4 linked regions of the Schizosaccharomyces pombe genome follow. The protein of the gene in region 3 purifies or fractionates together with the protein of the main gene of each other region. This does not show direct contact. Each region holds a gene or a part of one and is shown on either strand. Other genes may lie near its edges.

Region 1 (7,717 bases), on a different chromosome or scaffold from region 3:
CAACATCGCATATCAACAGGTCGCTCAATCCATTGAAGATATCGACGATGAACAATGGGATCTCACTTTTAAAACGAACATCTTCTCCTTTTTCTGGGTCACCAAGGCCGCTATTTCGCATATGAAGAGCGGAAGTTCAATTGTCAATTGTTCCAGCATCAACGCTTATGTAGGACGACCTGATTTACTAGACTACACATCCACTAAGGGTGCCATTACCGCATTTACTCGGGGGTTGAGCAATCAATATGCGCAGCATGGTATTCGTGTGAATGCCGTTGCTCCTGGTCCCATCTACACACCTCTCGTTAGCTCCACATTTCCCAAGGAGAAGATTGAACTTTCTGACCAAGTTCCTCTTGGACGTATGGGACAGCCTGTTGAGGTTGCTTCTTGCTACCTTTTCCTTGCATGCTCAGATGGTGGTTACATGACAGGCCAAACTCTTCATCCTAACGGTGGAACTGTGATTAACAATTAAATTTTAAAGGAAGACGACGTTCATTTACTGTCGTCTATTACTTTTTTGGTTTGAAATGAATAATGCAGCAATTTAATTTTGCTGATCCGGATGATTGTTGAAGTTGTACTTTCATATACTTTTGAGATGTTCATTCTCATGAAGACAATGCATGATTTATGATAGCTATTTTGGTTCCAGTATATGGAAATGGATGAACAGTGAAGAAACCTTTTAATTTCCTCTATCTTTGCTTTCATAGCATGAAGAATGTTTATGATTTTATTTATACCTTTAGAATTACGGATATCTACGGTTATACACTGTAAACAGTGACTAACTAAAAATATTTTTTTGTCCTTAAGCTATTGTAAAACAAGTTTGTATGGTTCATAAATCATCTCTTATTTAGGCATTTAAATACTTGTATGAACTCCTTGAAATGCATTTGTGCAGGTAGGAAATCCATTCAAAATTTACATAGATACTCTTTTTCAACTGAGGAAAATATTATTATTTCCTTCCCCCTGCTTTGTAATTAATTCACTCTTCGTTGCTCTTTCATTAAAGACTAACTAACTTAGTATGAATCATTTGATTAAAAAAAAGTTGGAATACCAAATTGTTATTTTCTTCATATACTGCCATACACGTGCTTGTCAAAATGGTAGAAACAGAGTAACTAGAGAAGCATGAGTCATTTTCCAAGACAATGAGAGTAGAGTGTTGAAAAATATTTAACTATTCTACAAAAAATGATGACTAAAGTAAAATTAAATAGTTACTATACTCAAACATTTAATATTCTTAAATTTCAAATTTCAAATACCCAGTTAACGTGTTGTAACGAATCCTTATCTCATTCTTAGCCTACCCATTCGTATTCTAATACAATTGTGGGACATCATCATCTTTGTCATCTACCACCTATTAAAAGATAATAGCGGAAATTGCAAATTCATTGTTAAGTGCTTTGCTAGTTGTTTAGAAATAAAATGCTTTCCCGTTTTTCTTCCCAGTTGCGCTTTATTTCCGCAGTTAGGCCGGTGATTCCCAAATTTCAACCTTTGCGATTTTATAGCGTTGCTCGCCCTGATGCTGAAAAACGAATCCTTAAAGTTGTTTCTTCCTTTGACAAAATTCAGGACCCTAAAAAGGTATGTTTTGCATTCATTCAGTTGTTTTTTTTCACTCTATGTGTAATTTTGGATCTTAACATTTTTGTTATTTCCAATTTCAAGACTCATTGTAAAAGTCGTCGGCTTGAATTTACGAAAAAATTTTTTAGGTTAATGTTATCTTTGTTTTTTCTCTTTACCCCTATGCATTCTCTCTAACCATTCAGGTCACACCTACATCAACATTTGCGAATGACTTGGGTCTTGATTCTTTAGATGCTGTCGAGGTCGTTATGGCTATCGAAGAAGAATTTAGCATTCAAATTCCTGATAAGGATGCAGATGAAATTACTTCAGTCGGGGATGCCATCTCGTATATTACAAAAAACCCCGAAGGTATGAACTTTTTTTTCTCCTGAAACGTAGCGTCTAGCCTATATCTTTTCCTACTGCTTCTACGTACTAACTTTATACAGCAAAATAAATAATCCATCTGGTCTTTCAAGTATACTTGACTAGATAGATATTGATTTTATCCAATTGGTAGGCTTATGAATCAGAACAATTAATTCCTCATTCTCTCTCATCTTTTGTATTTTCAATGAAGATTTTCTTGCCATGTATTGTTGAATATACTTATACTTTGGCTGTTGACCAAATTTTTTTTCCTTCTTCATTTTATAATATTGATTTTTAAATGTAGTTCTGCATTTTATCTCTTCAGAATCTACGTTCCTATTACTTGTAGTGTAAAATACAACTTGTTGCAAGAATGCATAACCTCTTAATTTGCATTGTTCACGCAACTACGATGAAATTGTTCGAAAATTGAGCACTGATATACAAGTGTGTATAAATACTCCTTTAATTCGTGGTATATCAATTCCCATTGCTCTGGCTTAGCTAAGCTTCTCATATATTTTTGAGAGACAGGAAACGGCATAATAATACCAACAATTTTTTTGGCTAACTAATGGTAAAATTGCTTATTCATCGATATAAGCATGCATTCAGTACGACTATTTTTCCAATTGCTGAGATACTAGAGACAATATGACAAACACAACTAGTTTCATCAGGCACTTTTCGCCCGATGAAAATACACAAACTTGAAATCATTAAAGTTCCACACCGATATACTAATGCAATACAACAATCACTACTATACAACAAAAACTAGCCATACTACAAAGCACATAAAAAATTTCTTATAAAACAGCTTATGCGATATTCTGGTATATAAGCTAAAGTCATAAAAGTCTAGTTATTTTCTAATATTAAAATTGAAATTGCCAAAAAAAAGACAAAAAAAGAAACATCAACTGTTCTGCGAACCATGTATGCTATAAATCCTCTCAACAAAAAAAAGAAGAAATCACCTGTACCAGCACGGCCCACACTCGAAAATTGAAGCTTACATTCCAAAGCCCTAAGAAATCCTGGCTTCGCAAATCACTGGATCGTCATAATCAGCTTACTCGGCAACGGTAAGACGGAAGATGGAGGTGTGACCCTTACCACCAACGGCACCTTGAAGGACAATGATCTTGTCACCCTTCTTGAGGATGTTCATCTTGTAAGCTTGTTGGCAACCGTAGGCAACACGAGCGTCAACATCCTTTTGCCAGTCAGAAAGAGGCTCCTTCTCGTAGATGACGGGGTAGACACCACGGTTGAGGTGAGATTGACGAGCTCTTTGAGGGCAACGAGTAACCATAACAATGGGGATAGAAGGACGGTACTTGGAGCAGAGACGAGCAGTGTTACCGCTGGTGGACAAGACAACGATGGCCTTGGCATCACTCTCAATGGAGGCACCGATGGCAGCGACAGCAGTGGTCTCGGTAGCACACTCAAGAGGACGACGGACGAGGCCGAACATCTCTTGGTAAAGGCTGCCGTAAGGGATGGAAGCCTCAGCAACACGGGCAGTCTCAGCCATGTAGGTAACGGCTTCAACGGGGTAAGAACCCTTGGTAGTCTCACCGGAAAGCATGACCAAGTCAGCACCATCGAGAACGGCGTTACCAACATCGGAAACCTCGGCACGAGTAGGACGAGGGTTGTAGGTCATGGACTCAAGCATTTGAGTGGCACAAGCAACGGGCTTACCAGCGATGTTGCACTTGGCAATCATCATCTTTTGGGCGACGAAAACTTGAGAGGCAGGGATTTCAATACCCAAGTCACCACGGGCAACCATGATACCGTCGGTAACGTCAAGGATAGAGTCAAAGTTGTTAACACCTTGTTGGTTCTCGATCTTGCAGATGATCTTGATGTTCTTACCCTCCTCACCCAAAACTTCACGGATGTGGATAACGTCCTCAGCACGACGGATGAAGGAAGCAAAGATCATGTCGACACCGTTCTTGACACCGAAGCGGAGATCGGCCTTGTCCTTCTCGGACAAAGCGGGCAAATCGACATCAGTCTTAGGCAAGTTGACACCCTTCTTGGAAGAGATCTTACCGTTGTTGTTGACACGGACCTTCAAATTCTTGTCATCAACCTTCTCGATGACAGTGAAGGAAAGGATACCATCATCAACGTAGATGATACGGCCAGGTTGAATGACCTTGGTGATGTTCTTGTAGTCAATGTACATGACCTTGTCGTTACACTTCTCGGCATAAGCATCGTCGGTGGTGAAGATCATCTCGTGACCAGAGGAGATGGGGTAGTCAGTACCGCCAACGGTGAGACCAGTACGAATCTCAGGTCCCTTAGTATCCAAGGCAATGGCCAAGGGGAAGAGAGGGTTGGTGGCAGAGGCCTTACGGGCATTGTCAATGACGGATTGGTGGTATTCGTAGGAACCGTGAGAGAAGTTCATACGAACAATGTTCATACCAGCATCACGGAGCTTGCACAAGGTCTCAACGTTGTTGGACTTGGGACCAATGGTGCAAATGATGGAGGTACGACGGTTGACAGCGGGGATATCAAGCTCGCTGTTGAGGCCGGCGACCCATTGCTTAGGAGAGACAGCAGAAGAGGACATCTTTCAAAACCTATATTATATGATAAAATAAATGTAGGAGAGTATTATATAAAGAGCTTTAGAAAAAAAAGAACAATTTCAATTTTTTTCTGCAGGCTACTTTGATGTTGTGGGTTTAGTGGTTGGTAGAGGTACCTTTTTGGTCGGGGGATTGCCTGTATATAAAGGCCGGGAAATGTAACTTCGGAACAATATCGTAACCATACGGTCGTTTTTCGGAAAAAGCCTACACGTACCCGGAATTCTAAAAACATACCGCTTTTTCTTACAACTCTAAGTATCAAATCGCTGTATTTTTTTAAGTTATATGCACCTGACTCACTTACCGTTCCATTCTCCACCGTCACCCAGCCGGTGGAGCGACGTGAATCCCTTCCACATCCCGTCGCCCCAGTTGTTTCCCTAATTCCATACCGTGCGCAACAACACACATTGACGCGTCCCAAACTCTCCTATCTCTACTACTACCCGTATAAGCATGAGAAAGACGCGAAAAATCCACCTAAACATCCAACTTGCGGTGTTTGTTTACATTTGGCACCTCTGCGTGAATAACGCATTACATTAACTCTCGCTGCTTCCGTCGGCTGAGGAATTTCCAAAAGCTTCGAACTCGTTCTGCAATGTGACTTGCTATCAATATCTCGTTACCAGGAACCGACGTAACCTGACATAGTTTTAAGCAACATCTTGCCATTCTGGACGATTATGTAGCAACCGAGATAGGGAGTTGCCCGCCAATCATCGGCTTTTGCGAAACTTAGCAGCGCTTTCTTTAAGAGGTCAGTAAGGAACTACTGCAGAGTAGAGCGTAATTACCTTGCAAAACGGCGTACTGCAAAGTAGTATGTTATGCTAGATGAGAAAGAGACAGGGCTGGGAATATATGTCTGGCTAGTGGGTAGAAGCGCTAGGGGAGAGGACAGGGGGCAGAGGCAGAGGACAGAGGCACAAAAGGTAGAAAGGATGGGTAGAAAAAGGAAAGTGTCAGGAGCATAGTATGTTAGATCTGATATTTAAGGCAATCCACGATAACTCAAAACAATCCTATTCAGCCTTCTCGGTGGCTTTTGATTGATTGATCGACAGAGTAGCATGATCGACAGTAGCGTAATTTTTCGTAAACATTTCTTTTCATTTGTCTATTTGACTAGTTTAGTTAACTTTTCTACGAGTGTCATGAATTGAAATGCTAATAACTTTCTCTAACATTAAGCGAATAATCACTAGCAAGATATTCCATATGGAACACAAGTGTGTTACTTTCGTACATACGGTATTACCTTATAGATGTAGGTGTATTAGTTGAGTTGCAGTATTACTACTGTATAGACCACAGGATGTTTTGTTGTAATTACTTTTTATATATTACCCTCTCTTGGAACTTCTTCTTTACTTTTTCTATTTCATACATCTTTATGCGTGCTTTAATATATCATATTGTCACTAATTCATGTTTCAAAAAAAAAAAAAAATAATAATAATAATAATAATAATAATAATAATTATCGATGCAAGAAAATGAATTTTCTCTTTTCATTCTCCGTGTTATCTTCCCTCTCATCCACCGAGCCAGCCGGTATCTTCTCTTTAGCTAAAATCCTTACCAACGTTGACGTCGTAGAGCAAATATATCTGATCCGACTTGCTTTCCATACACTCAATCAACTTAATTAGCTTATTCTTAATCTCTTGACGTTTATGCTTGTGATAACCCGGTGTAAGGGAATTATAGCGGTCAGAAAGTTTCTCATAACGCTTTTTCAATTCCATCAACTCATTCGTTAATTGATTCACTACCGTCTTAAGAGCCTCGCTGGGCGGTTGACTGGGTCTTAACGTCTGATCAGCATACAAACAATTCGAATGCGAAACCTTCTGCTCCCCTCTTATCAAGTCTTCTTGACGAGCATGACACGCATTGCACTTGCCAACTCCATGAGCTGCACTTTCATTGATAATGTGTTCCACCTGCTTAAGAACATGTTTCGGTAATTCTTCTTCATTGGGCTCATCCGGTACTCCAGTCGTTCCAAACTCTGAACCGTTATGAAAAGTTCCTTGATTCCAATCAAAGCCTGCTTCATTAAGGTAGCTATCCTCGGCCAATTTGTTTCCTTTCATCGAAGAAGAGCTTCTTCGCCTCGGCAACGTTGCTTGTTTCTCCTTTTCAAAATCACCATCATCGGATAAGATATCAGAGTACTCTGAGTCAAGAGATATCTCTTCACTACCTTCATCAGACTCAACCCCCGACGCGACATTCGGCGAATCGAATACGACTTTGCCAGTAATACGCCTTTTTGATTTGGGTCTTCTCTTTCGATGCTTGACAGGACCAGCCTTGTTTGATTGCGATAGTTTCAGCTTAAGCTCCAGAGACTTCCTCATTTCAATTTCTTTGGCCAATTCTTTCACCAAGTCTTGGTATCCCGAAGTCGGTGAAGTGGAGTCTTGTTGAGGAGAGCAATTTTCTTTGGCAGTTTCCGTTCCATTGCTCATTTCTTTAGTGTTTGCGCCGGATTTGTTTTCAAATAATAAGTTGTTGAGCCCGTCTTTCCTTTCGTCTGCTTCATTCATGGACAAGGGTTTTGAACTGTTTTCCGCAGTCGACTTTATTTTGCTTGTTACATTAGATTCCTTCTTATCCAAATATGTCTGAAGTTTCTCTTTTAATACTCGATTCTCATTCAAAAGTTCATTATTCTCAGAGATCTTATTACCCAGACGCATAATATAACTCTCTCGGTCTAATAATACGTTCTTATAAACAGATTGAATATGTTCGTATTGCTCTTGTAGAGATTTCAAATGTTCAGACAAGCGTTCTTTTTCTCGCTTGACTGTGTCATAGCGAGAAGCAGCCATACCATCGTCAACGTTCGATTCACCAAGTTTTGTAAGCATCTCCTTTGACATTCGTTCCTCTAAACTCCTAGCACGTCTTTTCTCCCTGTTATAGGCGTCAGTAAGAAGTTCTAATTTGTCTTGGAGTTCGTCAATTTTTGCGTTGCATTCATTACGCTCTCGTTTCAAAATTTCAAATTTTTTCTCCAACAACTGGTGAGCATTGAAAAGTTGTTCATCTGTGGAAGCAACGGGAATAGTGTTTAGCTCGGGTAAACGATCGTGTTC
Region 2 (7,479 bases), on a different chromosome or scaffold from region 3:
ACCGTATCCTCCTATTTAGCTATATCACTAGCGAAAAAAAGGACTACTCGATATCAAAAGGATTCGTTTGTTCTTTATATATTATAACATACATATACTGCACAGTATATATATATAAACCTATAATATACGGACACCTCTTTTTCCTGCATTGTATATATATTATATTTATATAATATATAATATAATATAATATATATATATATATTTGTCATTGTTGCTGTTGTTCTTTAACTTCATCAAAGAAAACACTTCTGTCCCCCCTGTCAGGTTCCTTCGTTTTTTATTGCACATATATATATATTTTTATTTTATTTTATTTTCTTTTCTTCTTCTCTTTCTGTGATTGATTAACTCGACTCGATTTTCTTTTTTCCTTTTCTTTATTTTCTCTCTTCCAACCTTTGGTTTCTTTTTCTTTTTTTTATTCTTCATACCTAATAATTTTCAGAAGAGACCTTGTTCATCGTTGTTTCCTTTTTCTTTCGTACATTGTATTACTTGTTTTATTATTTTTAAAATAAAAACTGAAGAACCCTGCTTCATCACAACCATCAGGTTTTCTTTTTCGTGTACCCATTCAGTGATTTTAACGAATTTTTCTTTCACGCCTCATTAAGGATTGTATTTTCGCTTTTTGTCTCATCAACAATCGAATAACTTTGTTTCTGTGTTTTTTTTTTATATTTTCACTTCAACAAGCTTTTTACCGCGAAACCATCTCATTTATTAATTTCCTTTTATTTCAGATCGATTTTGATTTTTATTCTTCCAATCCTCTTTAATACTCGATCTTTGTAACACTTTGTTTTAGTACTTCTTTTATTCCTGAATCTTTTTTTTTTTGCTCTTACCGTTACACTTTACGCAAGCAAAAAAAATTTCTCTTTTTTTTTTTATTAAATTGTTCTTGATTGTTCTATTAGCATTTCTTCATCTCAAGAGTTCTTAGACCTCTCGCTTTTTCGTCCTTGATTTATTTGTCTGTACGTTATAAGCTAAGCTTTATTTTGTTCATCGTTGAAAGATTCTACCACCCATTGTCTTATACTGGTTACGTTTTTTGACTTTTGTGTCTCATTGAAACTTTGTTGTTCATTCATATTACTTACTTTCTTTTACTTTTTTTTGGATATCTATTTAAATGTCTATTGACTGCCTTTATCGCCGTTCTTCATTGTTTGATACTTCCTTCGTCCCTTTGCATTCGTCTATTCCAGCAACCTCGAAAATGTCAGCTTCTAATTCAGATGTCAATGCCCCCATTTCCCCTGTGGTTGATGAGGGCAAATCAGAGTTAGTTTCTCCTACTTTGGAGAGACTTGTGGCTCCTTTCAACTGTTCTCCTAGCTCCACTCCACTTCAAGATGTAGCAGGTGTTGGCTCGAAAATGAGCGACACCTTATGGATGGGTGACCTGGAACCTTGGATGGACGCTACTTTTATTCAACAGCTCTGGGCTTCCCTCAACGAACCTGTCAACGTTAAAGTCATGCGCTCCAAAGCATCCTCTTCGGAAACGCTTATCAGCTATTGCTTCGTTCAGTTTTCCTCTTCTGCAGCTGCTGAGCGTGCTTTGATGAAGTATAATAACACCATGATTCCTGGTGCTCACTGTACCTTCAAGCTTAACTGGGCTACTGGTGGCGGCATTCAACATAACAACTTTGTTTCCCGTGATCCTGAGTTTAGTATCTTCGTTGGCGACCTTCTTCCCACTACCGAGGATTCGGATCTTTTTATGACTTTCCGTTCCATATATCCCTCATGTACCTCAGCCAAGATCATTGTCGATCCCGTTACCGGTCTCAGCAGGAAATATGGCTTTGTTCGCTTTTCAAGTGAGAAAGAACAACAACATGCCTTGATGCATATGCAGGGCTATTTGTGTCAAGGTCGCCCCTTACGCATCTCTGTCGCTTCACCAAAGTCTAGAGCCTCCATCGCCGCCGATTCTGCCCTTGGTATCGTTCCTACTTCTACTTCTAACCGCCAGCCTAATCAAGATCTTTGTAGCATGGATCCTTTGAACACTACGGTGTTTGTCGGTGGCTTGGCTAGCAATTTATCCGAGAAAGATTTGCAAGTTTGCTTTCAGCCCTTTGGAAGAATTTTGAACATCAAGATTCCCTTTGGCAAGGGATGTGGCTTTGTCCAGTACAGTGAAAAATCTGCTGCTGAAAAGGCCATAAACACTATGCAGGGTGCCTTAGTTGGTACTTCTCATATCCGCCTCGCGTGGGGTCATAATACGCTTCCTGTATCTGCCTTGTCTCAATCTCAATCCCAAGTTTCAGATGAGGGCTTCGACAGAACTCTTTCCGCTAACCAAATTTTCGGTATGAATCAATCTGTCATTGGAGCAAACTCTGGCAGCTCAAACTCATCCGGCTCTAGCTTGAAGAGTGCACCTGTTTCACCTCGTACTGCTGCTGCGCAATCTTTGTTGCCAAACTCCGTTGTTTCCTCAATCAATGGCATGAACTCCGTAAATTTTTCAACCATTTCTCCACCTCCTTTGTCTCGTTCAGCCTCCATTTCTCCTACGTTGTCCGGTAGTGGCTCAGGTTTGACACCTCTTTCTTCCCATTTCCCTTCAGCTGCCACTGGCTTGGTAGGCGGACAGGTGTATCCTCAGTCTTCTGTTTTGCAATCCTCAAAAATTAATGGTTCTGCAAAGGTCCAGCCTAGTGTGAAGCTCCCCGAATGGTTGCAGCCTTTTTCCGGCAACAATCATAACTCCTTTGCTACTCAAGATTTATTAACACGTGTTTCCTCCTTAAAGTTGGTTGATGATGAGCAACCTGCTTCTTTGAATGGTTCAGCATTTCAAGCGAGAGCTTCTAGGCCTTGGAACCTAGGAAGGGAGCGTCAGTCTTCACTAATTGATCTCCGTCATGAGTTGGAGCAAAATGAAAACGGTTTGGAGAAATCCGGCTTTGGTTTGAACTTGAGAGGTCGCTTGCCTCCTCGTTCTTATTCTACATTTAATTGTACTGGTCAATACTTGCAACCTTCTCTACGCTTGTCACGCGATTCATAAATTATTTTTATGATGTTTGAAATGCATTACTACTACTACTATTTGTTTCTTCCACTTCTCTTCTTAAGTGAAGGGATTTCCCGAATATTCTTGTTTTATTTCTAATGTTTTTGTTTTAATTTTTTATTTATTTTCGTTTTTCAAAGGCATCCGTATAAGTTTTCGAGGGCTCCTGATCAAGTTAGTTTAATGTCTTAAAGAACTGAAGGGTGCTCTCGTGATTTTTTTTATTTTGTTTTGTTTTTATTCTTGTATGTTAAATCTCTCTTGTGATGTTTTTTATAACTGTTGAATATTATTTGTGCCAAGGATTGTTTTATTTATGATTGTTTTATTTTTCTTTCATTGCTGTTGTTCCTTAATGCACATATGTACATGAAAACTTCCATTGAGGTTTTTCAAACGTCCAAATCTTTTTTTTGGATCGATGAGTTATTTATATGTTTTATTTTAAAATGTCCTTTCCAAAAAATAATTTTGTTATTTTTTCTTCTGATTTTCTAAATAATTAAAAGCATTGTTTTTGTTTTCAACTTATATAATGGAAATTTTCCAGTGACTGTAGTAGATATTGGTAGCTTGTCGATTGTAGCTTTTCAATTAAAAGTTTTAAATCTGAAACTTGAATTTCAAACACATTTCTCTAAAATTAGTCGAAAAAAATGTAAGTCAATTGAACAAATACTTTTCTGATGCTTTGCATTATCCGATGCACCTCTTCAGTATGTGCCATAATATTAAATGCCCAAGTAAAGACATTTATGTTTATCCCTTTCTAATTTTCACAGAACATAAAAACATCATTTTAATTAAGACTTTATATGATTTTTTTTTTACAAAAATAGCTATTCAATATGAAAGATTGGTAGAAATATGTTTGCCTAGAAAGTAGCACCCATTTACCAACATGCGACGATACTTAAAAAAGGCGAAGCCTAAAATCGTGCAAACGAGCGACAATGAGGAAGAAAAGCATGAAGAAAATTTAAACGTTTCTCAATCAAGTAAGAACTTAAAAGCGCAAAAGTGCTTGGGCTCGAATAGAACTTATTATCGCAAGTGTACTAACAATGCTTAGACAAAAATGCAAATAGAAGAAAAACAAAAGCGAAAGAAAAAAATTCGGGAAAATTTAGGGTGAAATATGAGAACGAGGTAAGTTGTTTTTTGCTGGAAAACGTTTTACCAATTCATCTGTTATATTAACAAACATTGATTAGGAAGGAGACGACGATGGGGAGGATTCTCAAATCCCTTTGATTCCAAAGGTAAAAAAGCAAAGCTCTTTTCATTCGGTTGATGATTTGTAAGTAAAATGTTTTAAGTCCAAGTATTAGTTATCTAATTAATAAAGAATATCGCGAAGAATGGATGCTCTCTCGCATGAAAGTGGATACTCCAATGCTTATGTGGATGAGTTAAAGAGAAAAAGTAGGCAGACACCATCAGAATTTACAAAGAAGGAGGAGGATTCCTCGACCAAAGAAAGCGAATTGCAAACAAGATCGTCACCTCCTTTACCCGTTAATACTAGTTTGGAATGGAATATGCTTAATCAAGGCATTCCTGAGGAAGCAATGATTAAGGAGTTAAAGGATCGAGAAGGAAGAAAGAGAAACATTGCCATGATGACGGATAATTACATTTCACTTGAAACAGGGGACCAACTGATGTTGGCACAAAATCATAAAGAAGAGAAATTGCTTCAAACGGAAGACGAAATTCAAGATGAAGGTTACTCTGGATTTGAAAATTACGTGGAGGAGTCAGAAAAACTTCAAGAAATATACCACCATAGCTCGGAAAGTTTACGGACACGATCAATTCAAATGGCCGTCGACCAGAAAAATATGGAGATGGAATTGGACGATGAAGACATAGCAGAGCCCATCCAATCATGGGAACATACTCAAATCAAGAAAGGTGCCTTTGGAGAATCTCCTGCTTTTACAAATGGACTTTCTGTGAAGCTTCCTAATATTCTTACAATGGATGAACAAATTCAGCGGCTAAAAGAAGCAATAGCTTCTGAGAAGCTTCAGCAGGAGGAGCGTTCACAGATTATTAAATCACTTATGGAAGAAGAACTCGAGATTAATGAACAAGAGGAAAAGATTAAACATTCTTTCATTGATTTAGATAAAACTTTGTTGAACAACCTTACCAAAAGCAAATCCTGATTTACTTTGGATTTTTTAATTGATAAAAAAAAAACAAAGAAGAAAGACATGGTCGATAAATTTACTTAACGCTATAACTTAGATTTACATTTCTTACAGAACTCTTATCCTTGTACAGTATTAATTAGCTGTTACAGCCCATCGGTGACTTGTTGAAATAGAAAAACAGTGCCAAGAAGTCACCGGGAATTACAAAAAAATAATGACCCGATATTTATGGAGATAATAGATATTAATTGCTAGAAGATTTCATTAGCTTTATCACATATTAAAGTTATAGCCTCTGAGTATTCAAAACTTTAGTAAGTAGCATTGTCACTTACAATGGATTTTGTGTGTTGAAGAGAATACATTTTACCTACTGCCAAAAAGTGGGTTTACAATAAGACTTGTCATTTTATCGTCTCAATGGCTCTGAAAAGAAGCTATTATGCGTCAAAAGATGATTATTCGACGAAAAGAATCCTCGAAATTATCGAAAGGCCATTGAAGAAGCTTACAATAGAGGATACTTCAGAATATGATGGTATGTATACTATCGATTAACCTTTTGAATAAATTTAAAAGGGAAAGCGAATTCTCTTACAATATCCTTTATTCCATGTCAATATATTAACAGTCGGTGCAGATTCTGATATTGAAATGCCAACCTGCAAGCGTGTAGCTTACTACAAAAATGAGTACACAATTGTTGTAGAAGACTTGGATGCTGAACTGGAAGAAGATGACAGCATAAATAAGCCTACAGAAGAGGCTGACGAAGCTCCACGGACACAACTTTCTGTGATCTCTCCTTTGGAAAAGAAATTGAAACGGGATTTTCTATTTTTGCTCTTGAATTCGAATCGGCAGCCAGGAAAATCATCTGGCAAGTCTTCAATTCCTTCTCCTGATGATTTTAAGCTATCGGTTAAGTACTCTTCTTCATCCGAAGATCTTGGTGCAGTCACCATCGAATCTCATCTTAATGTTTCCAGTGATGCTTCAATAAAGTATAAATCCAGCGGAACTAGTCAGTCTGATTTACTAATGGAAATTGGATGATTTATGCTCAATGACTGCATGCTGTTTTCATGATATATTATACAGTATTTGTTCACTTTGATTTTGAAAAATCGGAATTTTTTTGAATATGTTGACTGATAATTTAAAATAATTTTAAATATTCCTAACAACTCTGTTTTTCTCTACATTTTTCAAAGCACCTGTTTCTGTTGACACTCATTTAGTGCACATTAACGCTGAACGCTAAGGTTCTTGTCTTTTTCTATGACCTCTGTCAACCGTTACATTAGACAACGGATTCCCTAATGAATTGAGCTTTATCATTAGATACTTTTCTAGACAGTAGAAAATACTGTTTTTTGAGTAAATGCTGAAGAAGCTTTAACTCTTAACAATTGATTCCAATTCACATTCACATTGAGTCTCGCAATCATGCAATCCAAGTATGGTAGATCTTCCTTAAAAATAAAAAATGGTGATGATACTCGGACACTAAGAGCTCTTTCCTTTTCCAAGGACTCCGTTAATAGCTCGTCTTTTGACAATGAAGCCGCAAGCACCACCCTTGGAATTTCAACTGCTATCCATGCTTCCAATCGTCCTTTTAGGCAAGATGAATATTCATGGAATGATTGTTGGATGCGCTGGGGACAGTTACGCAGGGTTTCTTCCCAATTGAGAGAACTCAGATTTACCATGAATGATCAGCCTGCAACTGTCACGTCTATCGCTTATCAAGGTACGTTGTTAGTAGCTGGAACATCCTCTGGACACGTATTGTTGAATGATTGGCGAACGAATGACTTTCAAATCCTCAAGCCTGGTTTATCTTCTAATGAATCCGTTACTCTACCTGTCACTTCTTTAGCGATTTCGAATTCTAAAAGAATTGTATGCCAAGGACATGCTGGTGGCATTATTTTTGTTTGGGATGTTAGCCGAAAGCCTCCCCTACAGTTGTTTACAATTAATCAACATTCGGAAGATTCTGTGTTGACACACCTCGTATTTAATGGTAATTCTGATGATGTTTTACTTTCTACCGATCATCTCGGTAAAATTGCTGTTCACGAGTTTTACAATTTGGTTATTAATAAACATTGCACTTCCTGGAATCTAGATATGTCAAAATCAAATAGCTTAAATTTAGACTCTATTATTGTCGATACTTCCAGCATATCTTTTGAAGAACTTCACATTACAGGTGTGAAGCATTTTTCTTTCGTTGTACTCCAATCTTTACAATCGATT
Region 3 (6,801 bases):
TAAACCCTAACATAACAAAAATCTATAACCCTATGAATATTTAATGTAACCGTTGTCAAAGTTATTTTCATGCCGTATTTTCCAAACGTAAATGCATTTTATCTAGTAAAAAAGATAACTGGAACTCATTGTTCGACGATAATTGAGAAAGACGTTTACTTAAAACGACAATCGATTTTTGCAAACTGGTTAACTGACTAGCAAACTCAAAATTCTTCCGTCTTAAGTATTCACCATGGTACGTCAGTACAGACTTCATCCATCTCAAATGAAACTCGATATGGGGCGTTTCGGCGGCAAACGAACTTAAATACCCCATGAAGTTAGCCAAGTAAGATACGGGAAGTTCTTGGACTACATGCTCGACATCAGTTATGGGAATTGATTCATAGACTTTTTGAACCACTTTATATTCGTTAAGACGAAGAGCCATTACCAGAGAAATCAAGAACTCTCCTTCCGCACACATAGTAAGAGTGGTGCTTGGTGTGATATCCATATCTAAATTAATAGGATCAAACAAAAAGTCATTATATAAAGAATAAATCATCAGCCCTTCAGTAGTAGCTGCTGCAAACGCTCCTCCGCTTGGAGAAAACTGAACGCCATGACAGATAATTTCAGGGCGTGTTTTTCGAGCAGAAAGATCTCCACGTCTAGCGCCAGGTAACGTACGATCGATTCTGTCTTCCAAATCAGACTCTTCACCTTGGGTATCGATTAACTCGATAGACCCAGCTTCAGTCATCTTTCGACTATTCAGCATTTCTTGTACGCCTTGCAATGATTCGTTTTTAGATAATTGGAATTTTTTAATTAGGACGCCAGTAATTATATCATACAAGCAAACATACTTGCTAGTGCCAGCACTTAGAACGCACGAACCATCAGCAGAATAACAAATAGAGGTAAATGTTTTGTTCAAAGAAGAATTTTCAGCAGTCCGAGCGTCATCAAATCTTCTTCCACCAGAGAGATCTTTTCGACCGTCAATCAAAGATGTTTGTTTTCCTTCCTGAACGTTCCAAAAAGTCAATTGCCCATCAAGTGAGGCTACACAAACCTCTTTTCCGTCTGGATGAAAAGCAAGGGATAGAACATCCGATGGAATTGGCAAAGGCTCAACAATACCACTTCTGCTGAAAATGTCCCAAATGCGTACCGTCTTATCCCAACTTCCACTAGCTAATAAGCTACCGGATGAATTAAAAGAAAGAGATGATACTGGGCCCTCATGACCTGCCAATGTTTCTAATAGCTGACCAGTTTGTACAGACCACATAAATATCTCAAAACTGTCTTGCGAGCCTGCACAAACAATTTCGCCTGATGGATCAACTGCAATGCAAGAAAACTGAACCCGGGATGGAGCCGTAAAAGTTCTGAAATTACGATAACGTATGAGGTCCCAAGCTCGAACTGAACCATCAAGAGAGCTACTAAAGAGTACATTGCCTCGCTTAGAAAAACAAAGGCCAGATACTGCAGATGTATGCTGAGTAAATGTAACGATACAAAAACCAGAATTCATATCCCAAACTTTTATTTTTCCATCGTCAGCACCAGTAATTATTCGCTGACCATCAGAAGAGTACTGCAACGTACTCAACGCATCATAATGTGATTGCTGTTTTAAAACATATGATTCTGACTGCCATTCCCAAACAAGCAATTGTCCAAGTTTACTAGAGCCAATAGCAATCCAATCTCCTGTCGAATTTACAGTTAAAGTATCGATATTAGATTGGGTAATGCTCAATTGGTATAACATTGTAAACGAAGGTAATTCATATATACCAAAAAGCCCGCTAGAGAATCCCACTACCAACAGATTGCTAGTAGGATGAAAGGCTGCGCATCGTAATTTTGAGTTTTGGTTGAAATAATGTCGTTCCTTAATCAACCAAATATGCGTCCGAGTTTTATTTTCCTCTGCCTCTTCGTCAATTACCTCTCCTGCTTGGAATAGAGGCGAGTATTTCCAAACAAATAGGGCGCCATCTTTGCTCACAGTATAAATGGTTTGTTGGTCTTTAGAAAAAAACCCCGATACTACTGTATTTTTATGACCAGTAAGAGCACAGGGATGAAAACCTTCGATAGGGTCGACAGAATGTAAACGAGCGGTCAGATCCTTTGAAGTAGATATAAAAAAGCGAGAGTCGGCTGACCAAGAAATTGAGACGATGTCGTCAAAATGGCCAGTATATTCACGATGCAATACAAAAGGAGCAAATTCCCTTTCCTCTAAAGAATTAGGCGTACGCCAAACTTGTATTAATTTTCCCAAGGAAACCGCAAAAAATTTGCCATTAGGAGAAAACTCAATTGCACCAACTGGTGACTTAAAATTAAAATAATGAAGCACACTTCTTCTCAAAAAATTGCATAGAATGCATCGTCCTTCTTCATCCACTGACAAAAGAAGTGTAGATGTAGGTGACAAAGCTATATGAGATATGTTTTTATGATTTTCAAAAGGAAACGTATAAGACGTGTTATCTTTTAGGTTGTATACGCTTACACGATTTCCAACAGGACTTAAAATAGAAAATCCATCAGGAGTAAAGACTAGATTACCTTTAGAAAAGATTGTTCCTACTAAGTTCGAAAACCCAAATTCAGTTTTCATTTTCTAGTTCAATCCGCACGTTTTATGCGGATTATAACCTAATTAAAAAAAGAAAACAAGTAATTTGCAAAGGAGATTTCCTCAGAGTATTTCTCAGGACCTTTCCAGCAAACTGCGGAATCTTGGTATTTGGATAGTTGTGAAGTTTGTCACACTCAATGAGAGGGCCACGACAAAAAATTTTTGGATACATGTCTTGAGTCTACAGTTTACGATAAAACAGTTTTAATTGGATTTTAATAAAAAAATTTTGAAATTCAGTAGATTACCGTCAATCAAAAAATATTTTTATGCGGTGATTTGTAGAGTTTTCCTTACTTGTCTAAACATAGTATTTGACGGTCATACATTTTACAAGCTCTGTATTACAGGTTGAAGAACTGAAAAAGATCGTGTTCCTAGCATCCTTTTGTAATGCAAAAACAGTATGCGATTGGAAGCTAAAACTAAGCTGAGCTCTAAAGCAAAAGAACCTATTAATGTCGTAAAATATAACAGGACTGGAAAGTACGTCCTTGCTGCTGGTAACGAAAGGGTTGTGCGACTTTGGAATGTAAAGAGCGGCGCATGCATACATGAATATGCTGGACATGGTCATGAAATACTAGATTTGGATTTAGTCTATGACAGTACAAAATTTGCTAGCTGCGGCGGTGACAAATTCATTCAAGTATGGGACGTGAATACTGGAAAGGTAGATAGAAGACTTGGAGGCCATTTGGCTCAAATTAATACAATTCGTTATAACGAGGACTCCTCCATTTTAGCTAGCGGTGAGTGTGATTGTTACGAATAATCCAAAATCTAATTGTTTACAGGTTCGTTCGATTCTAAAGTTCGATTATGGGATTGTCGGTATGGGCTATTAATTCTGTTTTTATTCTACTAACTTATTTAGTTCTAATTCTTTTAGCCCTATTCAGGTCTTAGCAGATGCGAAAGACAGTGTTTCTTCTATCGACATTGCTGAGCATCTTATAGTTACTGGATCAACTGATGGCACTTTAAGAACATATGATATTCGAAAGGGAACATTGAGTTCAGATTACTTTTCTCGTAAGTGATCACTTGTTTCAAAAATTAACAAATTAAATAGATCCCATTACATCAGTCAAGACTTCTAAAAGCGCATCATTTTCTTTGATCTCTTCTTTAAATTCATCTATTCATCTACTTGACCAAGAAACGGGTAAAATCTTGAAAAGTTATATCGGTCTGAAAAACATGGAGTACCGAGTTAGATCTAGCTTTAATCAAAGTGAAACAATTGTTTTCAGCGGAAGTGAGGATGGTAAAGTATATCTATGGGATTTAGAAAATGAAACCCAAATAACATCCACTTCCGTTGTTGGTACTCCAATTGTCACTGATATATCTTGTCATCCTACTATGGATGACTTTATCATAGCTACTGTTCATGGTGATTTGTTCATATACCAGTACAACTGACCACCTCAATTTCCCCAATTGCAATTGTGGTTTGAATAGCTGGAAGCGAATGCTGAAATTTAATTACTAAAGGATTTTATTAAGTTTAATTAAATTAATATCATCTATAATGCAATATTTGTAGTCTATAATATGCCTCCCAAAAAGCGCATGAAAAATGGCTCTTCTTTAAAATCTACGTCTAAAAAGGGTGAGAAAAGCCGAAATATTATTACAATTCAAGATTTGTTTTCAAAACGAGAAGCACAGCTTACAGATACACCAAACAAATTGCTCACCGATCACGATCAAAGCGCCAGCGATTATGCTTATGCATTAAAGCTTCAACAGCTTTTTGATTCTGAGAACCAAGCTACTGCTCCGGAAAAGCTTCCTAAAGATGTAATTATACCTGAAGAAGAGTATCATACTGACACATTTAATGTTGTAAAAGAAAGCAATGATAAACCTAAGGAGAATTTAGTTACAAGCGAAGAATGCAAAGCTTCTTTTTTCTCAACTGATAGCGTGAACAAAGATTCCACAATTGATTACGATGCTTTACAGAAAGATCCTTTGACTTACGTGAAAAGTTGTCGAGCCCGATTTGTTTCAAAAGATACAAAAAGCTTCAGTTACTCATCACTTGCTAACACCTTTTCCTTAATTAGTTCTACCAAATCCAGGATACGCATTGTCACATTATTAACCAATTTCCTTCTCACACTTCTGTATGCAGATCCTGATTCCTTAATTGCAACAGTTTGGTTATGTACCAATTCTATTGCCCCCAACTTTTATGGAAAAAACCTTGGTGTCGGACCTGCAATGTACTCTAAAGCTTTGAAAGAAGTTTGTGGCATTACAGCAAGTGCTTTGAAAAATTTATGGAACAAATATGGCGATCCAGGAGATGTAGCGTTCGAAGCTAAAGTGTCTGTGCGCACGTTAAGCAGACCAGAACCTTTGACTATTAAGAAGGTTTATTCTACTTTACTAAAGATTGCTGACAGTAACGGTAATGGTGCCCAGAACCGTAAATTAGAGTTAACTAAATTTTTATTGATAAGTTCTAATGCTGAGGAGGTTCGATATATAGGGAGGAGTATAATGCAAAATCTAAGAATAGGGGCTGTTCAAAACACCATGTTAGCTTCACTAAGCAAAGCTTTTTTTATTTTTGACAATCAAAACGAAATATTTAATTTTAATTCTGACTCACTTCAACAACAATTTCGTCAAGGAGAAGAGATTGTTAAACAAAGTTTCTTTCAGGTCCCTGATTATAACATTTTGGTTGCAACCCTTCTTCGAGAGGGGATAGAAAACTTAAAAGACAATATGTCTATTCGCCCTGGAATCCCAGTAAAACCTATGCTTGGTTCTATCACAAAGAATTTGCAGCATATGTTAGAAAGATTGACTGATCATAACTTCTCTTGTGAGTTCAAGTACGATGGACAAAGAGCACAAATTCATTGCGATAGACTTGGAAACATTAAGATATTTAGCCGCCATTTGGAGGAAATTACAGGAAGATTTCCGGATGTCATTGAAGTTGCTCAATTAGCATTGAAACATTCATGTGATTTTATTATAGAAGGCGAATTGGTGGCTATTGACAAAAGTAATGGTCAGATACTGGATTTTCAAAAACTTTCAACTAGAGAAAGAAAAAAAGTTACAGTGGCTGATATTACAATAGACGTGTGTGTTTTTGTTTTTGATATTATGTTTTGTGATGGGAAATCTTGCTTACAAATGCCTTTAATTGAAAGAAGAAGAATGTTTTTTGAGCATTTTAATTTAATTCCAAATCGCTTTCAGTTCGTGTCTTCTTTGGAAACAAATGAGGAGCAATCCATTCAAGAATTTTTTAGTCTTGCAATTACTAATAAATGCGAAGGATTAATGGTGAAGGTACTGAATGGAACAAACTCAAAGTTTCCTTCAACGTATGAACCTGATAAAAGAGGTGAGGGATGGATTAAAGTCAAACAGGATTATGATGATGAATTTGAGTCATTGGATCTTGTTCCCATAGGCGCTTGGTACGGTAATGGAAGAAAAGCCGGATGGTTCAGTCCAATTTTGCTTGCTGTTTACAATCCAGACACTGGCGCGTATGAAGCAGTCTGTAAATGCATGTCCGGTTTTAGTGACCAATTTTATAAGGAATTAACACAAAAGTATTCCTTAGAATCTGGCAATAGCAGTCTTAAACCCATATATAATTTTTGCGAAACAGGTAAGGTAACTCCACAAATATACTTTGCCCCTCAAGAAGTTTGGGAAATTAAGGGTGCTCAAATAACATCCTCACCTGCATACAAGGCGGCTTTGGGATTAATTCAGGATGATCGCGGTTTATCAATTCGATTCCCACGCTTCATTAGAGTTCGGTCAGACAAAGGACCAGAGGACGCATCCACGAATTCAATATTGGCTGACATGTATATGAAACAACTTAATACTTGATGTTCGTGATGAACTCAAAATGTCAAGGAACATCGTTGATTGTATATTAAATAAATATTATTAAAGGTATGGCAACAAATATATCAATCATCAGTCCTCAAAATCCGATATTGAACCAATATACGCATGCCAAAGATATGTATAGGCTATCGGACAAATAGATGGCTTCTTCTTTTTAGAAATTCTAAAAGTGTTTTGATCGCCACTCTGTAATTTGAATTGATGAGGATCTTCTGGTTTGTCACAAGTTGCTATTCTTTTTG
Region 4 (8,116 bases), on a different chromosome or scaffold from region 3:
GAGCGGGTTCTCGGTGAATGCGTATCACTCGACCTGTAAGAGGGAGAAAAAGGCCGAAAGGGAGAGGTGGCATTGTGAAGAGAACGCATATGTCCATTCATGACAATTGGCTCTGCTCGGTCAGTCAATGACATGGTTTTATAAGGAGAAGCAGAGCCAGCAAAGTCGTCCAGGGCTTCCTCATTAATTGTGGGTTTTAAGCTGTCCGAGGAAGAGCTATCGTTAACAGGAGTAAAAGATTGTTTGTGAAACGTATGGAATCGATTCTTCCAAGTATTTTTGCTTAACGGAAATGTGGCTGTAGGAGACTCAATTTGTTGCTGCTTGTTAACTTTTTGTAACGGAGATATAGAAGGTGAAATAGGAAAGAAAGAATCGTCATACTTCATCGGCGATTCAAAACTCGTAAACGAGGAAAAACTTCGATTTTTGGCACTAGGCAGCAGCGAATCTGCAGAATTAGACGCAAGATTACTATCCTGTCCATCGTTCGGCACATTACCCCCTTCTGCCTGACTCATGTTAGTCGGTGTTTCGCTAACTAAGCGGTCTCTGCTTCCACCAAAAGGTGATAATGGTGGCTTTTGAGGAGACATAATTTCAATGCTTAAAGACTTATTAGATTCCACTGAAGACTTTGTCTCTGTGGGCTTAATCGTGACATCAACCTCAAAATTGTGATAATCAGCGCTCTCGTCTGAAGACCTGGAAGGGTGACGGACTTGTTTACAATCATTACAAAATATAGTCCTATTATCTCTTTTAAAGTTAGAGTCAATTATTTGCTTTCGGCAATCATGGCAACGAAAACACTCTCTGTGATAGGAGTCGTAGCCTGACATTAGGGCATAGTCCTTGATCCTCATACGACACGCTGTACAGGTATGGGCGCAAGAGCTACACACCGGTCGTCCATCAGAGGTTTGCACCAGCATTTGATCACTGTGCTCCAATCCTTTATCGCACTTCGTACAGCAGAAGCAATCCTTATGCCACATATGACCCCCAAACGAAATAGGTGTCTCTCTACGTTGAAATGCCTGTCCGCAGCGAAAGCATACTGTGCTTCCCTTGCTTGATGGAGATTTGGAAATACTTTTTCGAAATATCATCTTATCGTATATATGCTCTTCTTATTTCCTGCTAAACGTTATGAACTTCAATCTAGCGTCATGAATTTGGCTTTGTTGATTTTTATTTTCACAACGATTCCTTTGGGTACCTATTTTCATTCCTCAGCTTCCCATCAAGTAAATGAAAATATTCCCAATTTTATGATTGAAGTTCGAAACAATTGGTAAATGGCTAAGGAATAATTATTACTGCAGTTGTTGGCATCATTGCCCAGTGGAGCGGTGAGAACGGCAGTAGCGAGTCGTTCACTCTAATCCCTTAAAATTTGCATGCGTCGTACACATGGCACTATGGTCTTTGGCTTGCCTTGCCCTAGCCTAGCGAAACACTATGGAAATTATCGCCGTGTTCTACGATATGGTGCGTAAAATTGCCAAAAGTCACATGGTTTATTACGGGAGTTTAGACGAAACGGGTGTTATGAATAGCTATTAAATACGATTATAATATTACAGATAATTAATTTTAATGGGTTTGGCAGCGTTTCCGCTCTCTAGGCTTTTCTTTCCACTCAAAAATGGTGATATTTGTGAAAAGGGAAATTGCCGAAATTAGAAGGAAAAAGGAAAATGAACTGTTTTTCTGGCTTAAATAGCTTTACCTTTAGAAAAAACCCGCTAAAAAATGGTTAAAGATATATACATTCCTGATCAAAAAACACAGAGGACAAAAAAAAAGAAAAAATTTCGGTAGCAACAGGAGTAAACAGAAGGAGAGATGCTTTCTAGAGAAAAAAATTTTGTAGACGTTTGTAGCGTGAACGGTCGGATCGTCAAATAAAGGGACAAGAGAAAATGCTCGTTTCCAAAAAGTGTAGAATTTATAAAATGTGTATCTCAAATAGCGGGGTCGCTATAATTGATTAAGTAACTATTGCTTTTAAGAAGGAAGTAAAGGCTCCTAAAAAAAATTTTTATAGTTGTGGTGCGAATATTGGGACAATTATACGGAAGAAAGCAATCAGTTTTTAACAAAAAAAGTTTCAGAATATTGTGAACACTGGGACTCATCATTATAAATGGCAATAACTGATTGCTATAAAGAGGAAGTATTAAATTTTCTTTCTAGGAAAAAACAAACTTGGCAGAAAATGACGATAAAAAGAAAGGATTGCTATCCAACACAGAGGCAGCGCTAAAAAACAATTTATGTTTTTGTAAAGGCTTCAAGACTGTAGTTCGAAAATGAAGACATCTATTTTAAAGGGAGTGACAACTCCCAAGAAGAGACAGGTTTTGCAAGTTTCCTTTCAGGATCTTCTGTACTATTTGGAAGATTAGACAAATCATAGGATATTAACCCTACATATCCGCTTTCAAGTTCAGATACGACTTCAGCTGCACCCGGGGCATGGGAAACAACTGGATCCTTGTAATAATAACATATAGGTTGAACTTCATCATCACTATCGGAATGTTCGTCAATGTTGTGCAAGCTCTTGGAAGTTATTTTAAGAGTCGTAAACACGTCGGAACCTTTTAACTTGTCTTTCATTCGCTTTTGAGCCAGCAAATTACTAAGTGGTATAGTTTCAAAAAGAGCGTCCTCTGTCGACATCTCATCGGTTAAATGCAGCACATATTTCCAAACAAAGCTTTCGTAGTTTTTGGATTGAATCATGTCGTAGGCTTCGACGCTGTCATCAATTTCCACAAGACTTTCTTCTGCGACACTTTCATCCATGAACATTTGAGCATTATCAGGATACTCAGCCTGATTAACAGATTTCTTAAAACCATTGATGCTAGTCTCATCGGCGGGTACAGAATCTACCTTGCGCTTTACATCATGTTCTCCAAGGTTACCATCGCTTTCATCTGTCGAATGTTCCTTAGAATCAAAAAACATGGTGTTTTCGTTATTTTTTGTCTTCCGTGCTCTGACTCGTCCTAATTTCAGTTTTGATTGTCTTTCATCAGATTCCATTATGTGTATATAATTTTGAAATTTGAGACGTTTGTTTCTTTTGTAAACATTCATCTTTTGTCTAGTGGGTAAATACTTCCAAAATCCGGGTATATTGAATCGGTGAAATCGTAAAAATTTGCCTGACAGAACAACGTCTCTATTCTTGATAATAGGTTTTCTATGAAAGGCATTGTTAGCCTCTAGTTTCCTAAACCTAGACTCCGCCAAAAATATAGATGTTCCGATTAATTCCTTCAACTTGCTTTTAATGATTTGTAATAAAAACTCCGTAGCGCCAGCAGAAAGTGGATTGCTTGGAAAAGGCGCTTGTCGATCGAAATGATAAAACCGTTCAGAAATCTTTCTCATCTCATTTGTATCAAATAAATCCTCATTTGAGGTTTTGTTTTTGACACTTTGCGCATTATAGTGTGAAGTTTCAACCCCTGAGATATTCGAACCCTCAAGAAGTCTTTCCGCAATTTTTTCTTCCCAATCAATCCAATTCTGACTCATTTCCATTGCAATAGGTATATCTTCATATTTCAACAAACATTGACTGCGCACGGATGCGTCTACGTGATTACGAAGCCAACGTAGCTCATTCTCTAAGGCATTTATGTAACGCTCGATCTGCACAGCGCTTTTAGAAGGAATGGAGTAAGCTATCAAATCTAAATCTCTTTTCCCATTTCGAGCAACCGCTTGAAAAAACAGTTCTTTTTCTTCTGCACTCCAGTAAGTTCCATCCACACAAGAGCCACTAAGAACGCCCCATTGTTCTTCTTCCAAATCAAAGTCACGCTTATTTTCAGTCTCAACTTCGTATTGTTGAAGGACGTCTAGGTATCGTTCATCATGAGTCATGTACAATTGCTCACTTGAGCCAATGATAGATGCAGTGCTTAAAGGCGTTGACCCTTCACTCTCATTTAATCCGTTTATTGAAGAAGACATGTTATTATTGAGAACATGATCAACGCTAATGAAATAAAAGCTGTTGCAGTCTTCTTTTTAATATTTTTTTGTTTACCACATTACCAGACGTGGTTTGTGTTCTGACAAAGATCAAACTCGGTATTCTAGTGAATTTCGCTAATATACTAAAATCCAAAGGAATATATAAATGTAGAGTATCTCTAAAATTTACGGGTTTTAAACATAATAAAAAAATATAAATCGTGCTAAAATCTAGCTTACCGCTTATTGAGTACAAATTTTTTGCGCATGTACAAACACCTTAATCAAAACTGTGAACAAAAAATTGAAAAAGGCTGAAATGCATATATCAGACCAAGAAAAACTCCGTATATGTAATGATCTCTTGTAAAGTAGTTTGTTAACTTCCAAAAATTCTCAACCTGAAAAACGAATGGACAATTGAATTCAAATATCATTTTATACCAACCATATTCATAAATATAAAAAAAGGGCAAGATGCGTCAAACAACGTGTGCTTGAAGTTCCTAATTTAACGTCTTATTTTCTTCTTTAAACGACGTATTTTTTCTTTTCTTCTGTCCTGTGTACGTTCAAATTTGCTCTCATACCGAAATTTCTTTTTGGCGGCATTTTTAGGCTTGTGGGGACGCAAAGGAACATCTGGTGGAGGAGAAATACGAGGCGTGACAAAACCTTCTTTAGGATAAGCAATTTCTTCATCATCATCGTCCTCTACAATTTCTACCGTAACATGCTTATCATCTTCGTCATACTCAGTAGTTTTAGGCTCCATTGATGACTCTTCCTCGCTGTCAGATTTAGATGAGGAATCTTCTTGCTGTGAAGATTCTTCATCATTTTCTAGCGAGCTATTCAACTCTTTAGAGAATGCTAATCGCTCAGCCAGTTCTCTTTTGCGCTGTTCTCTGAGCTGAATAGTGTTAGTGATATACTCAAGATAGTATTAGAAAAACTTACAGATTTCCTCAACGCTAAACGTTCTTCGCGTTTTTGCTGCTCCAATTGAACTTGAGCATGCTTTCGTCGTTCAACTTTGCGTTTATGAAATCCAGTTAAATACTCTCTGTAACAAGTTAGTAGCAATCCCTTTATGATATCCATACTTTCGCTTCTCTTTATCAAAGACGATCTCCTCCAATCTTTGCTTCTTCCCTTTCTTCCTGCTGTAAATCTCACCTCCACGGGTTAGTAGAGATGTATTATCCATGATGCAACAGTTCGTGAGTAGCTAGAAGAGAGGGACAATTTATGGGAATCTGTAGTGATTTTAAGTAAATTATCTCCAATTCTATCCAGTCTCGTAATGGTCCAGTAGATTTATGAAGACGAGAGGTACTGAAACCCTACTATGCCTTGTACGTACATTTGCACTACTAACTAGAAAATTATTTGCAAAATGCATCGCATTTGCCTTATATTATATACGGATATTGGTATAGTGCAGTAAACGATTAGTTGGCTATGCATTGCTTTCCTCTAGCTATTACACACAGAAACCAACGTGTGCCGAATGTTTTGCTCAATCAGTGGAGAAACGCCAAAAGAACCGGTGATTTCTCGTGTAAGTGGTATGTTTGTACAATAATTTCCCTGTCTGACTGAATGTAGGAAATGTTTACGAGAAGCGCTTGATTGAACAAGTTATTCGTGAAACGTCTAAAGACCCTGTTACTCAACAGGAATGCACGTTGGAGGACTTGGTTCCTGTAAAGGGTAAGATTTCCTTCTTTATTATTGAATGGTTAAGAATTTCAAGTAGCACTTATTTTTTTATACGTGGAGTACTGAATATTCTGAAATTGGTTTGGAAAGTAAAACCCTGCAATATTGGTTGAAGAACTCGTTTATTTTCTTTTTTTTGTTGATAATGTATTTTATTGCATGATTGATTTGTACTCGAAATTTTTTAATTTTACAGCTTTATATTTCTCCTTAAAAAGTGGACTATTTAGTGCATGTCAATATCTCGGGGCAGAAATTAGGAAGGTTTTTAGAGAATTATAGAACAACCTTGTCGGATTTATCAAAACAAATCTTTATCAAAATTAATGTGGAGTTGTTGAGGAAAATGTATTAATACTTTAGATTTTTTTTGGTTTTTGCTCTCCAATGCGATTTATATTTACTATATTTTGATTGTACTGACCATTCACATATAAAGCGAATCAAATCGAAGATAATTGCTAACCTTTAAACAGTACCTGATTTTGTTAGACCTCGACCTCCTTCTGCCACTTCATTGCCTGCATTGCTGTCTCTCTTTCAAGAAGAATGGGATTCTGTCGCGCTTGAGCAATTTGAACTTAGAAGAAATCTTACAGAGACGAAGCAGGAGTTATCAACGGCATTGTATTCGCTAGATGCTGCGTTAAGAGTTATATCTCGGCTTACCAAAGAAAGAGACGAAGCTAGAGAAGCATTGGCGAAATTTTCCGATAACATAGGCACTGTTTCCTCGAAAACTATTGAAGTACAAGAGGTAGAGATGGGCGAAAGTGATGACCAGCTTAAAACTAGCTTACGCTCTACGGTGGAAAAAACATTTCAAGAACTTTCTTCCAAAAGGAAACGTACAAAGTTACAACCTAAATGGGCGACTGACGATGCTGTGAGTCAGCTCTTGCAAGCTACTCCTTCTACTATCTTAGAAAATTTGGAAACAGAAAGCACTACGTCTTTCTTCCCGTCCCCTGAAAATTCTTCTTTTGTATTATGTCTTCATAAGGATGAACTTTTATGTCTAGATATCCAATCCAACAGTACTCTCAAAATTTTTGAAGGATCAGCTTTAGCGTGTTGTTGGTTGACTTCTTCCAAGATTGCTGTCGCTACTGCTGATGCCATTTCAATTTTTGAATTTCCTGTTTCCTCATCTGGTTTACAAAGTGTGGGTGAACCTACTTCGTCCATTCCTATAGACGAAAAGGTGAACTTCCTTCAAGCTCATCCAAGTGGGGAATATTTATTAGCAGCATCAAACGAAAAGTGTTATATTTTCTCCCTGAAATCCCAGGTTTATAATATCACCGTTGCTCAACACATTACATCTCTTGCTGTACATCCGGACGGTAACCTCTTTGTCGCTGGGTTAGAGAATGGCGAGTTACGCTTTTTTGAGACTTCCTCGGGAAATGAGCTTACAAAATTTGGACCACATTCAAGTCCAGTTAAAACATTACAATTTGGTGAAAACGGTTATTGGCTTGTAGTAACAACTAATGATGACTCTGACATTTTCATTTGGGACTTAAGAAAATCTGAGCTTGTTCAAAAAATACCCCTACAAACCAAAGTCGCAGCAGTGTCATTAGATATTACTAGTCAACTTTTGGTAAGTTCGGATGGGGAGACTCTCTATGTACATATTTATGTCAAATCTTCAAAGTCTTGGAGATGTATGAGTCAAACCCATGTTTCCTCTATTTCTAATTTGGTTTGGTTAAATGAGTTACACCAGTTGTTGTTTAGTACTTCAAATGGAGCCATTCTCCGGTTGGGTTAACCCAATTTTTAATCCTTTAATTATGTGCTCCTCCATTAGGCTTTTCGTATTTAGTAAGATTTTGGCTCTTTAACTTAAGTGATTTCCTTCATAATGAAATATTTAGGCAAACTATTATTTTTCAGATAGATGTATCATTAAATTTTGACATTTGGTTTAATTGGCAAAAAATAATTTATGTGAGTTAACTCAAGTGTCAGAAACAGTGGGAGCCTCAGTTGTTTCTGATGCTTCTGGTTCAATTAAACTGACTTCCAGTAAATGATTTTGTAGTTTAGTAAGAGTTCTTTTAACTTTCTCAAGATCAGGCTCGCTGTAATCGACAGTCGGAAAAGACGTGGAAAGAGAATTAGTGAGCCAATATGATTTAATTTGTCGAGAAACATCCAGTAACTGTTCTACCGCGCGAACCATGGACACAGTATGGCATTCAATCTGGTAAACCTCTGGTGCTACCGTATATTTATCTTTGCCTTCATTTATAGCAATATCCAGTATGTCTTGAAACCTTGACAAAATAGTTAGTGTAGCATTGTCAATAGACGAATTTAAAGTATTAGTTCGCTGAACTAGCTGCCGTTGGAAACTGTCTGAAGACATACTAGCTTT

The links.
Region 1: the proteins of wdr83 (region 3) and pyk1 purify together in Schizosaccharomyces pombe (affinity purification with mass spectrometry, with the first as the bait; one study listed by BioGRID). This does not show direct contact.
Region 2: the proteins of wdr83 (region 3) and ntr2 purify together in Schizosaccharomyces pombe (affinity purification with mass spectrometry; 2 studies listed by BioGRID). This does not show direct contact.
Region 4: the proteins of wdr83 (region 3) and prp19 purify together in Schizosaccharomyces pombe (affinity purification with mass spectrometry; 2 studies listed by BioGRID). This does not show direct contact.

Annotation. Positions count from the first base shown.
Region 1 is NC_003424.3:3,841,961-3,849,677, forward strand, and holds pyk1 (pyruvate kinase), read right to left. Parts: upstream 4,716-7,717; 5' UTR 4,583-4,715; coding exon 3,053-4,582; 3' UTR 2,783-3,052; downstream 1-2,782. Other genes in the region: SPOM_SPAC4H3.08 (3-hydroxyacyl-CoA dehydrogenase), read left to right, coding at 1-481; SPOM_SPAC4H3.09 (type II fatty acid synthase subunit), read left to right, coding at 1,456-1,617, 1,806-1,974, 2,055-2,062; protein Ppc89, read right to left, coding at 6,173-7,717.
Region 2 is NC_003424.3:3,566,011-3,573,489, reverse strand, and holds ntr2 (spliceosome complex disassembly protein Ntr2), read left to right. Parts: upstream 1-3,944; 5' UTR 3,945-3,950; coding exon 3,951-4,047; exon of another isoform or gene 4,048-4,121; coding exon 4,122-4,198; exon of another isoform or gene 4,199-4,263; coding exon 4,264-4,349; exon of another isoform or gene 4,350-4,397; coding exon 4,398-5,223; 3' UTR 5,224-5,508; downstream 5,509-7,479. Other genes in the region: RNA-binding protein Csx1, read left to right, coding at 1,145-3,043; SPOM_SPAC17A2.07C (uncharacterized protein), read left to right, coding at 5,632-5,749, 5,852-6,267; WD repeat-containing protein Vps8, read left to right, coding at 6,661-7,479.
Region 3 is NC_003423.3:873,291-880,091, forward strand, and holds wdr83 (WD repeat-containing protein), read left to right. Parts: upstream 1-2,948; 5' UTR 2,949-3,059; coding exon 3,060-3,405; exon of another isoform or gene 3,406-3,450; coding exon 3,451-3,487; exon of another isoform or gene 3,488-3,530; coding exon 3,531-3,688; exon of another isoform or gene 3,689-3,728; coding exon 3,729-4,081; 3' UTR 4,082-4,178; downstream 4,179-6,801. Other genes in the region: pwp2 (U3 snoRNP-associated protein Utp1), read right to left, coding at 68-2,632; adl1 (DNA ligase), read left to right, coding at 4,214-6,538; SPOM_SPBC713.07C (polyphosphatase), read right to left, coding at 6,629-6,801.
Region 4 is NC_003424.3:5,127,727-5,135,842, forward strand, and holds prp19 (Prp19 complex subunit, ubiquitin-protein ligase E4 Prp19), read left to right. Parts: upstream 1-5,496; 5' UTR 5,497-5,515; coding exon 5,516-5,573; exon of another isoform or gene 5,574-5,613; coding exon 5,614-5,718; intron 5,719-6,057; exon of another isoform or gene 6,058-6,203; coding exon 6,204-7,507; 3' UTR 7,508-7,616; downstream 7,617-8,116. Other genes in the region: Rho-type GTPase-activating protein Rga3, read right to left, coding at 1-1,112; RNA polymerase I upstream activation factor complex subunit Rrn5, read right to left, coding at 2,329-3,999; rRNA exonuclease Rrp17, read right to left, coding at 4,514-4,915, 4,963-5,068, 5,109-5,212; srb6 (mediator complex subunit Med22), read right to left, coding at 7,697-8,107. UniProt on the Schizosaccharomyces pombe protein: Probable ubiquitin-protein ligase involved in pre-mRNA splicing. May also function in DNA repair.